Linked DNA regions of Oryctolagus cuniculus. The protein of the gene in region 1 interacts with the protein of each later gene in a biochemical or structural test. Links are inferred from orthologs where the notes say so. Each region holds a gene or a part of one and is shown on either strand. Other genes may lie near its edges. The genes, in order: ATP7B and ATOX1.

Region 1 (3,804 bases):
TGAAGGGACAGACAGCCATCCTGGTGGCTATTGATGGTATGTCCCCTCTCCTGCTTTCCTGCTGCTCAAAAATGCAGTTTCCTGAGGATGTCAGACAATGACCACCTTTACATTTTTTTAAATAAATCTTCCTTTCTTGAGTTTTGGGCTGTTTTCCAGAAGGTGGTCCTGCCCTCTTTGTACTTCACTCAGTCTGAGGTCCTTTCTGTCTCCCCAGCTCCATCTTTCCACAGCCAGCTCTGCTCTGGCATTGGCCTTCTTACTCTTGGAATTGTAAATTCTCTTCACCATCATCCTTGCTTTTGTCCATGTTGGCAGTCCAGAGTCACCCTTCTCATTTCTGCAGACAAAATATGAATTCACTTCCCAGAAAGGTTAACCCCAGGTGCACATTAGCAGGAAGCTGGAATCGGGAGAGGAAGACTCTGACGTGGCACACGAGCATCCCCAGCGTCACTGCTGCTCCAGAGCCCACCTCTCATCTTCTTTACAGCCCTCTGAATTTTCCCAATTTCCTGCAAGGATCATGGTGCCTGACCTATAGCAAGAACTCAGTACATACTAGCTATTAAAATATGGGGAACAGGGGCTGGCATTGTGGCACAGAGGGTCAAGCTGCCACTTGCAGCATCAGCATCCCACGTGGAAGTGCCAGTTCGAGTGTGGGTTGCTCCTTTTCTGGTCTAGAAGGCCCAAGTGGCTGGGTCCCTGCCACCCACATGGGAGACCCAGAGTGAGATATGGGCTCCTGGCTTTAGCCTGGCCCGTCCCTGACCGTTGGGGGGCATTTGAGGAATGAACCAATGGGTGGAATATTTTGTGCTTTCTTTGTCTATCTGTCTCTCTCTCACTCTCTCTTTTTTTCCAAATATAAAATTATAAAATTTTGAAAGAAAAAGACAAAAATAATGACAATGGTTGTACCTCTCAGGGGGTTGCTGTGAATATTTTGATAGTCCTGCCATGCTTCTATGTGCATATGTAAATGTGCAAAATTTTTAAAAACAATTAAAACCAAATTATGGTGCATACACCTTGACGATCTGGATTTGTGTGTGACGACAGCTGTTCTGCACAGCTGTGTTCTCTCGCTCACTGGGGGTTTGCCGCAGGTGTGCTGTGCGGCATGATCGCCATCGCAGACTCTGTCAAGCCCGAGGCCGCCCTGGCCGTTCACACACTGAAAAGCATGGGCGTGGATGTGGTTCTGATCACGGGAGACAACCGGAAGACAGCCAGAGCCATTGCCACGCAGGTACAGCCCAGGGCTGGGGACCTCTTCCCCCTTTAAACTTACAGGCGGTGTTAAGCTCACAGAAGTAGTTCAGGGGGAAAAATAAACGCCAGTGCCTCAGGCCCTTGGCTGGGCGTCTGTTGTTTCCCCCTCACTGGTCTTTTCTCCCCATGCAGTGTCTCCCACGAGACTGCTGTGGTGCTGCTGCAAAGATCTTGTCACTGGGTCTGGGACCAGCATTTCTGGAAAGAGCGGTTCCAGTGTTCTCTAACCATTCCCCAAGAAGGTCCTGGCTTGAGGGCTACAACAGAAACTCTCTAACCTTCCTGCTAAGGGCCCGTCTTGTGGGCTCAGCTCTTCTCTGCTGTGTGCCGCAGGTGAATGAGTTGGTCCTGGGCGTTTCTCCTGCGCCCTTGATTGTGACAACAGCACTGCTGGGTAGCTACCTGCGAGCACTGGCGCCCCAGGGAATTCTTGAGACTCCACTGGCCCTGCCCTAATGTGTCCAGAGCTGTTTTTGAGTTAGGTGCTACTTCTGAGGGAAGCAGATTACTTCTGGTTTGCAGGCCCTGCTCACTACTGGTGAATTGAGTACGTTTCCCCCCTTTACCTGGTTAAAACGTGTTCCTCCATTCAACAAGCACAGGTGTGACAGGCACAGTGCCAGGCAGGAAGAGTGAAGAGGGGCCTGTCCTCAGGGGCTCATGGTCCTGCGCAGAGGGTGGGCTCAGGACCTGGTGTAGATCTGAGCCCCTCAGCTCCCAGGCTGGAGGGGCAGGGGATGTCCCTAGGGGAGGGAGGCTGGAGTCAAGAGTCAGTCAGATGAGGAAATTGGGGAGGAGTGGGAAGAAAGTTGAAGTTCCCAGGACAGCACAGGTGCAGGAGCATCCCCTGGGGATACGGAGAGGCAGGCGATCTGGAGAAGTCATGGGTTGCTGAATAACGCTGTGTCCAGTGTGGCACCAGCTGCAGGCTGCGGGACAGAGACCAGACACACAGGCATGTGGGAAGGCAAAGTCCTGAAGTTCAGAGACAGTCCTTGGGGGAGAGGGTGGGATCTGCCAGAGGACTTGAAGCAGGAGAGGAATGTGACCAGAGAAGGTAGGACAGCAGGTGGAGAAGAGGCCCGTCTCTGGACAGGGAGGCCAGCCAGGGGCCTGTTTGCTAAGCCAGGGCAGGGAGTTGGGGTGGGAGCAGGGCAGACATTTGCCCCGTGCCCTTAAATCTGTAGGACATGGTTGACAGGTATGAATGACCAGACCTGGAGGCTGAGGGGAGGCGGGGACCATCGTGACTCACGGGCTTCAGTTACTGTTCAGGATCTTCCGCCAACACCGAGTACTGTTTTCCTTTCCTTTCAGGTTGGCATCAACAAGGTCTTTGCGGAGGTGCTGCCTTCTCACAAGGTGGCCAAGGTCCAGGAGCTCCAGAACGAGGGGAAGAAGGTTGCCATGGTGGGAGACGGGGTCAACGACTCCCCGGCCTTGGCCCAGGCCGATGTGGGCATTGCCATCGGGACCGGCACTGATGTCGCCATCGAGGCTGCCGACGTCGTCCTCATCAGAGTGAGCTCTGCCACGTCCAGGTTGTGGGAGTGGTGAGGGCCTGGGGACAGGCCCCTCCCTCACCACTCACTCCTCTCCTGCAGAATGACTTGCTGGACGTGGTGGCCAGCATTCACCTTTCCAAGAGGACTGTCCGGAGGATACGAGTCAATCTGGTCCTGGCACTGATCTACAACCTGGTCGGGATACCCATCGCGGCAGGTAGTGGCAGCTCTCCCCAGCCATGTCACCTTTGACCCCAGCTAAGGCCAGAAAGGGTTCTCTTTGCTGAATCCCTACTAAAGTGAGTGAGGAGACCACCTCCCTGGCTGGCTGGCTGGCTGGCTGGAAGCATTTTATTTATTTCTATTTGAAAGGCAGAGTTGCAAAGAGAGAAGAGAGTAAGGGAAAGAGAGACAGAGAGATCTCCCGTCTATTGGTTCACTCCCCAAGTGGCTGTTTCAGCCGGGACTGAGCTAGGCCAAAGCCAGGAGCCTGGAACTCTGAGGCTTCCGTATGGGTGGCAGGGGCCCAAGTACTGGGGCTGTCACCTACTACTTTCCCAGGCACACTAGTAGGGAGCTGGATTTAAAGTGGAGTACCGGGCTGGTGCTGTGGTGTAACGGGTAAAGCCGCCTCCTGCGGTGCCAGCACCCATATGGGCGCTGGTTCAAGTCCCGGCTGCTCCACTTCTAATCCAGCTCTCTGCTATGGCCTGGGAAAGCAGTAGAAGATGGCCCAAGTCCTAGGGCCTCTGCACCCGCACAGGAGACCTGGAGGAAGCTCCTGGCTCCTGGCTTCGGATTGGCGTAGCTCTGGCCTTTGCAGCCAATTGGGGAGTGAACCAGCAGATGGAAGACCTCTCTCTATCTCTCTCTCTCTCATTGCCTCTGCTTCTCTCTGTGTGTAACTCTGACTTTCAAATAAGTAAATAAATCTTTTTAAAAAAGAAAAAAGAAAGTGGAGCAGCTGGGACTCACACTGGCACCCATATGGGATGCTAACCTCGCAGATAGTAGCTTAGCC
Region 2 (4,282 bases), on another chromosome or scaffold:
ACTGTGTGGCTTCTTCTACTGCAGCCAAAGCAAAACCCACCTTAAATTATAGTCAGTTTTGGGGCTGAATCTGTGGCGTAGCAGGTAAAGCCACCACCTGCAGTGCCGGAGGCCCATATGGGCACCACTTCGAGATCCTGCTGCTCCACTTCTGATCCAGCTCTCTGCTATGGCCTGGGGAAGCACTGGAAGATGGCCCAAGTCCTTGGGCCTCTGCACCCACGTGGGAGATCTGGAGGAAGCTCCTGGCTCCTGGCTTCGGTTCAGCGTAGTTGTGCGGCCAGTCGGGGAGTGAATCAACGGACGGAAGACCACTCTCTCTGCCTCTCCTTCTCTCTCTGTGTAACTCTGACTTTCAAGTAAAATGAATAAATCTTTAAAAAAAATAATTTTTCTTTTCTTCCAGTTAAACACCTGTGACTCCTTGAAGTAGTTTCATGACTTTTCAACAACAAAAACAACCACCTCTCAGGTAACACACTCTTCTCCCTACAGTTGAGAGGCAGTCCCTCAAAACCCTTATTCCCTTCAGCTGTTCATCTTGTGATATGGAGCCTGTCGGGTTTTGTGATGAAGAGGGTCCTTTGTCACAAGCCCTGGAAGGAGACTTGAAACAGACTGACCCTCAAACTGGCCTTCTCCTCCACTGCAACCCCTCACAATCCACCTGGCGGCGTGCCCTCTCCCAGGCCCAGGCTGAGTAATGCTGACCTCAACCACTGCCGCAAGTAGACCTGCTCAACTGGTACTGGCTCATTCTTTGTCCACATTAAGTGCTGGCTCAGGACCACAGGGAAATGACATCTGAGATGTTTACAGCTCTGCTCAGGGGGCCTCAGGCTCATCTGCAAGCTCCCAAAGAGCCAGGCTGCTAAGACAAAGGGGCTCAGCGGGACCCCTCTGGGTCCCCACTTGGTATACAGCCAGGAAACCTGAAACCCTGGAGCCAAGCACTGAACGCTGGGACCTCAACCAGGACCTCAAGAATGCAACTAGGATACAAACTTCCTCCCACGTGGCTGTGACTTCATCAGGTCCCACCTGGTCAGGCCAGGAGACACCATGAGCCTGAAGACAAAGGGGCTTAATCTTGACTCTAACTCCAATACCTTCAGTAAGTTATTAGGCTTCTCATTTTTACTTTTTTTAGAAAAATATTTCAGCCGGTGCCACGGCTCAATAGGCTAATCCTCTGCCTGCAGCACCGGCACACAGGGTTCTAGTCCCAGTCAGGGCGCCGGATTCTGTCCCAGTTGCCCGTCTTCCAGGCCAGCTCTCTGCTGTGGCCCAGGAGTGCAGTGGAGGATGGCCCAAGTCCTTGGGCCCTGCACCCCATGGGAGACCAGGATAAGTACCTGGCTCCTGCCTTCGGATCAGAGTGATGCGCCGGCCGCAGCACGCCGGCCACGGCAGCCATTGGAGGGTGAACCAACGGTAAAGGAAGACCTTTCTGTCTCTCTCTCTCACTGTCCACTCTGCCTGTCAAAAAAAAAAAAAAAATTTCATTTATTTGAGAGGTAGCGTTAATGACAGAGGGAGAGACAGATGGAAGATCGGCCACAGTTGGACCATTCCTAAGCCAGGAGCTTCTTCTGGGTCTCCCATGTGGGTGCAGGGGCCATCCTCTGCTGCTTTCCCAGGCCATAACAGAGAGCTGGATTGGAAGAGGAACAGCCGGGACTTGAACCAGCACCCCCATGCGATGCTGGCACCACATTGCGGGAAGGGAGGGTGCAACTGGTGCAGTGATTAAGATATTACTTGGGATGCCTGCATCCCACGCAGGTGTGTGTGAGTCCTGGCTGCACTTTCCAGCCCAGTGTTCTGCTACTGTGCACTTCCGCAGGCAGCAGGTGATGCCGCAAGTGGCTGCATCCTGGCCCCCAACAACAGTGGGATCGGGACTGAGTTCTAGGTGTCTGCCTGCCGCCTTGCCCAATCGTGGCTGTGGAGGGTATGGGGGGGAGTGAATGAGCCAACTGTCTCTCCCTTTCAAATAACATGGAAACCATTAACTAAAATTTAAAATCTAAAAGATAAGGCATATATGTAAGACCAAGTGAACTGCAAAGCCAGCCAGCAAGTATGGGCATGTGCAAACTGTAGAGTTCGTATATCTCATATTCCTTCCCAAGCTCTAGCGTGTACAGCGCCGACTTTGGGTAGGTTCCTGAAACCTCTCCGAGGCTGGTGGGTCCAGGCTGAGGACCTGACTGCTGGAAAGGTGAAACGCACTGTGTCCACGCAGGGTCGCCCAGCGCTGACCTGAGAGGAGGCCGGGCCAGGTGCAGAACTTCTGTAAACCCGGTCCTGCCCGTGAGGCAACAGCTGGACCCACCCACTTGCTCAGAACGGCCCGGCCAACTCCCCGGCCAGAGCAGGGCGTCCACGTGTAACAGCCGTTCCCGCTGGACACCGACCCTCCTGGGTCACGCGGGCTCACTCCGTCCCCTCCCCGAGACTCCACTTCCCGGAGCTGCAGGGAAGGTTTGCGTTTGTAGCTGCACGAGGCCATGCAGTTCCAACGTTCTGCAGCCAGGCGCCCAGATTTAACTCTTTTCGGATGCGATTTTCTGGAGGGTCCCCGAACCTGGGGGCGGCTGGGGAGGAGGAGGAGGAGAGATAGTTAACAGCTCCAGCCGCGGCCTGAGCCCTGGAAAAGCGACTAGTGGCCGAGCGGCGGTGTGGCCGGGGCGCAAGCCGAGCACCGCAGGCTAGCGCAGGCGGGGACGGCGCGGCCACTTACCGGCATGACAGGCGCAGCAGACGCGGCGGCGGTGGCGGTGGCGGTAGCGGTGGCGGTGGCGGTGGCGGCGGCGACGGCGGCGGGGAGCGGCGGCGGCAACGCGTCTCCGGGCTGCAAGGCGGGACTCCAATGCGTTTCCGGGAGTGCGCGCGAGAAACCCCGCCTACTGGCAAGACTGGCACCTTCTTATTCCCCTCGGCAGGGCGGCGGGGCGGCCGAGCAGACCCCGCCCCTCGGGTCGGGCATCTGGCGGGCCCCGCCCCCTGCAGGCCTGGCGGTCGCCGAGCCGCCAGACACACGAACACCTGGGCACGTTGGCGAGAGGCGGTGAGAGGGAGGCTTCCCTCCTCCGTCGGCTGTTAGCTATTTTGGGGGCGCCCATGTTAGGCCATGTTGGGAACACAAGGCAAAGGCCCGGCAGCGCGGGTCCCGCCCTTCCCTCCCCGACGCCTGGCGGCGCCGAGCGTCCGCAGCCTCGAAGGGAGCGAGGAGGCGGCAGTGGTGGCGGCGCCGGGGTTCAGGAGCGGAGGAGGGGTCTCTAAGTGGGGCTGGAAGGTGGCGGCGGCGGTTCCCGAGAGGAGGGCTCGTCTGAGGGAGAAGCTGCGCTGCTTGGTGGGGACAGGGGTGGGGACAGTGGGAGAGCGCTTTGGGCACAGGGAACAGCGCGCACCCAAGTCGGAAGGCAGGAGTGGGCCCGCCCGGAGAAACCAGCTGGCAAAGAGGTGCACCCACTGCCACGAGGGGAGGCAGGGTTGCTCTGGGAAACTTAGGCACGTCAAGTTCTGGCGTCTCTCTCGCTCTCGCTCTCTCACGCACCACCGCCAGTGGTCATGTGTGTGGACATTCCCTGCCGGTCGGAGTACTTTCAAAGGTTTCTCAGTAGCAGAACTGCTTGGTGAGTTTAGGAAGCACTGGGATTTCTTCCTGTCAGTTGTGAAAATGTGGATGACTAGAGGACGTTACGTTCTTCTAAAAAAAAAAAAAAAAAAAAAAAGTTGAAATATCTTCCATTCACTGATTCACTCTCCAGATGGTCAGAATAGCTAGATCTGGGCCAGGCCGAAGCCAGGAGCCAGCAACTCCATCCAGGCCTCCCACATGGGTGGCAGGGACCCAAGTATTGGGCCATCATCTGCTGTCTTCCCAGGTGCATTAACAGGGAGCCGGATGCTAGTGTGACACACATCATAAGCGGCAGCTTAACCCACTGTGCCACCATGCCAGCCCCAGGCTATTATAGTAAGTAGAATAAGGAAGATAAGTCCCACATGGTCCGAAAAACTTGATTTCATAGAAATTGAAAACAAAATGGAGGTTACCAGAGACTGGGGAGAGTAATGGGGAAGAAGGGGAGGGGCTAAGTTGATGAACAGGGACTAGGTAATAGGTAGGAGAAAGACGGTCTGGTGTTCTATTGCACAGGGGTGATTGTAGATAGTGTTAACATACTGTGTATTCTTTAAAGAGAAGATCCCAGGAGACAGCATTTACAATGTCTGCAAAATAAGAGATGATAAATGTTTGAGGAAATAGATA

The links.
Region 2: the proteins of ATP7B (region 1) and ATOX1 form a complex in vitro, tested with the Homo sapiens proteins (3 studies listed by BioGRID and IntAct). The link is inferred for Oryctolagus cuniculus from reciprocal best matches to the Homo sapiens genes ATP7B and ATOX1.

The regions. Positions count from the first base shown.
Region 1 is NC_091440.1:71,320,601-71,324,404, reverse strand, and holds part of ATP7B (copper-transporting ATPase 2), read left to right. Parts: coding exon 1-36; intron 37-1,112; coding exon 1,113-1,255; intron 1,256-2,595; coding exon 2,596-2,799; intron 2,800-2,882; coding exon 2,883-3,000; intron 3,001-3,804. UniProt on the Homo sapiens protein: Copper ion transmembrane transporter involved in the export of copper out of the cells. It is involved in copper homeostasis in the liver, where it ensures the efflux of copper from hepatocytes into the bile in response to copper overload.
Region 2 is NC_091437.1:38,728,206-38,732,487, forward strand, and holds the start of ATOX1 (copper transport protein ATOX1), read right to left. Parts: upstream 2,939-4,282; 5' UTR 2,753-2,938; coding exon 2,747-2,752; intron 1-2,746. UniProt on the Homo sapiens protein: Binds and deliver cytosolic copper to the copper ATPase proteins. May be important in cellular antioxidant defense.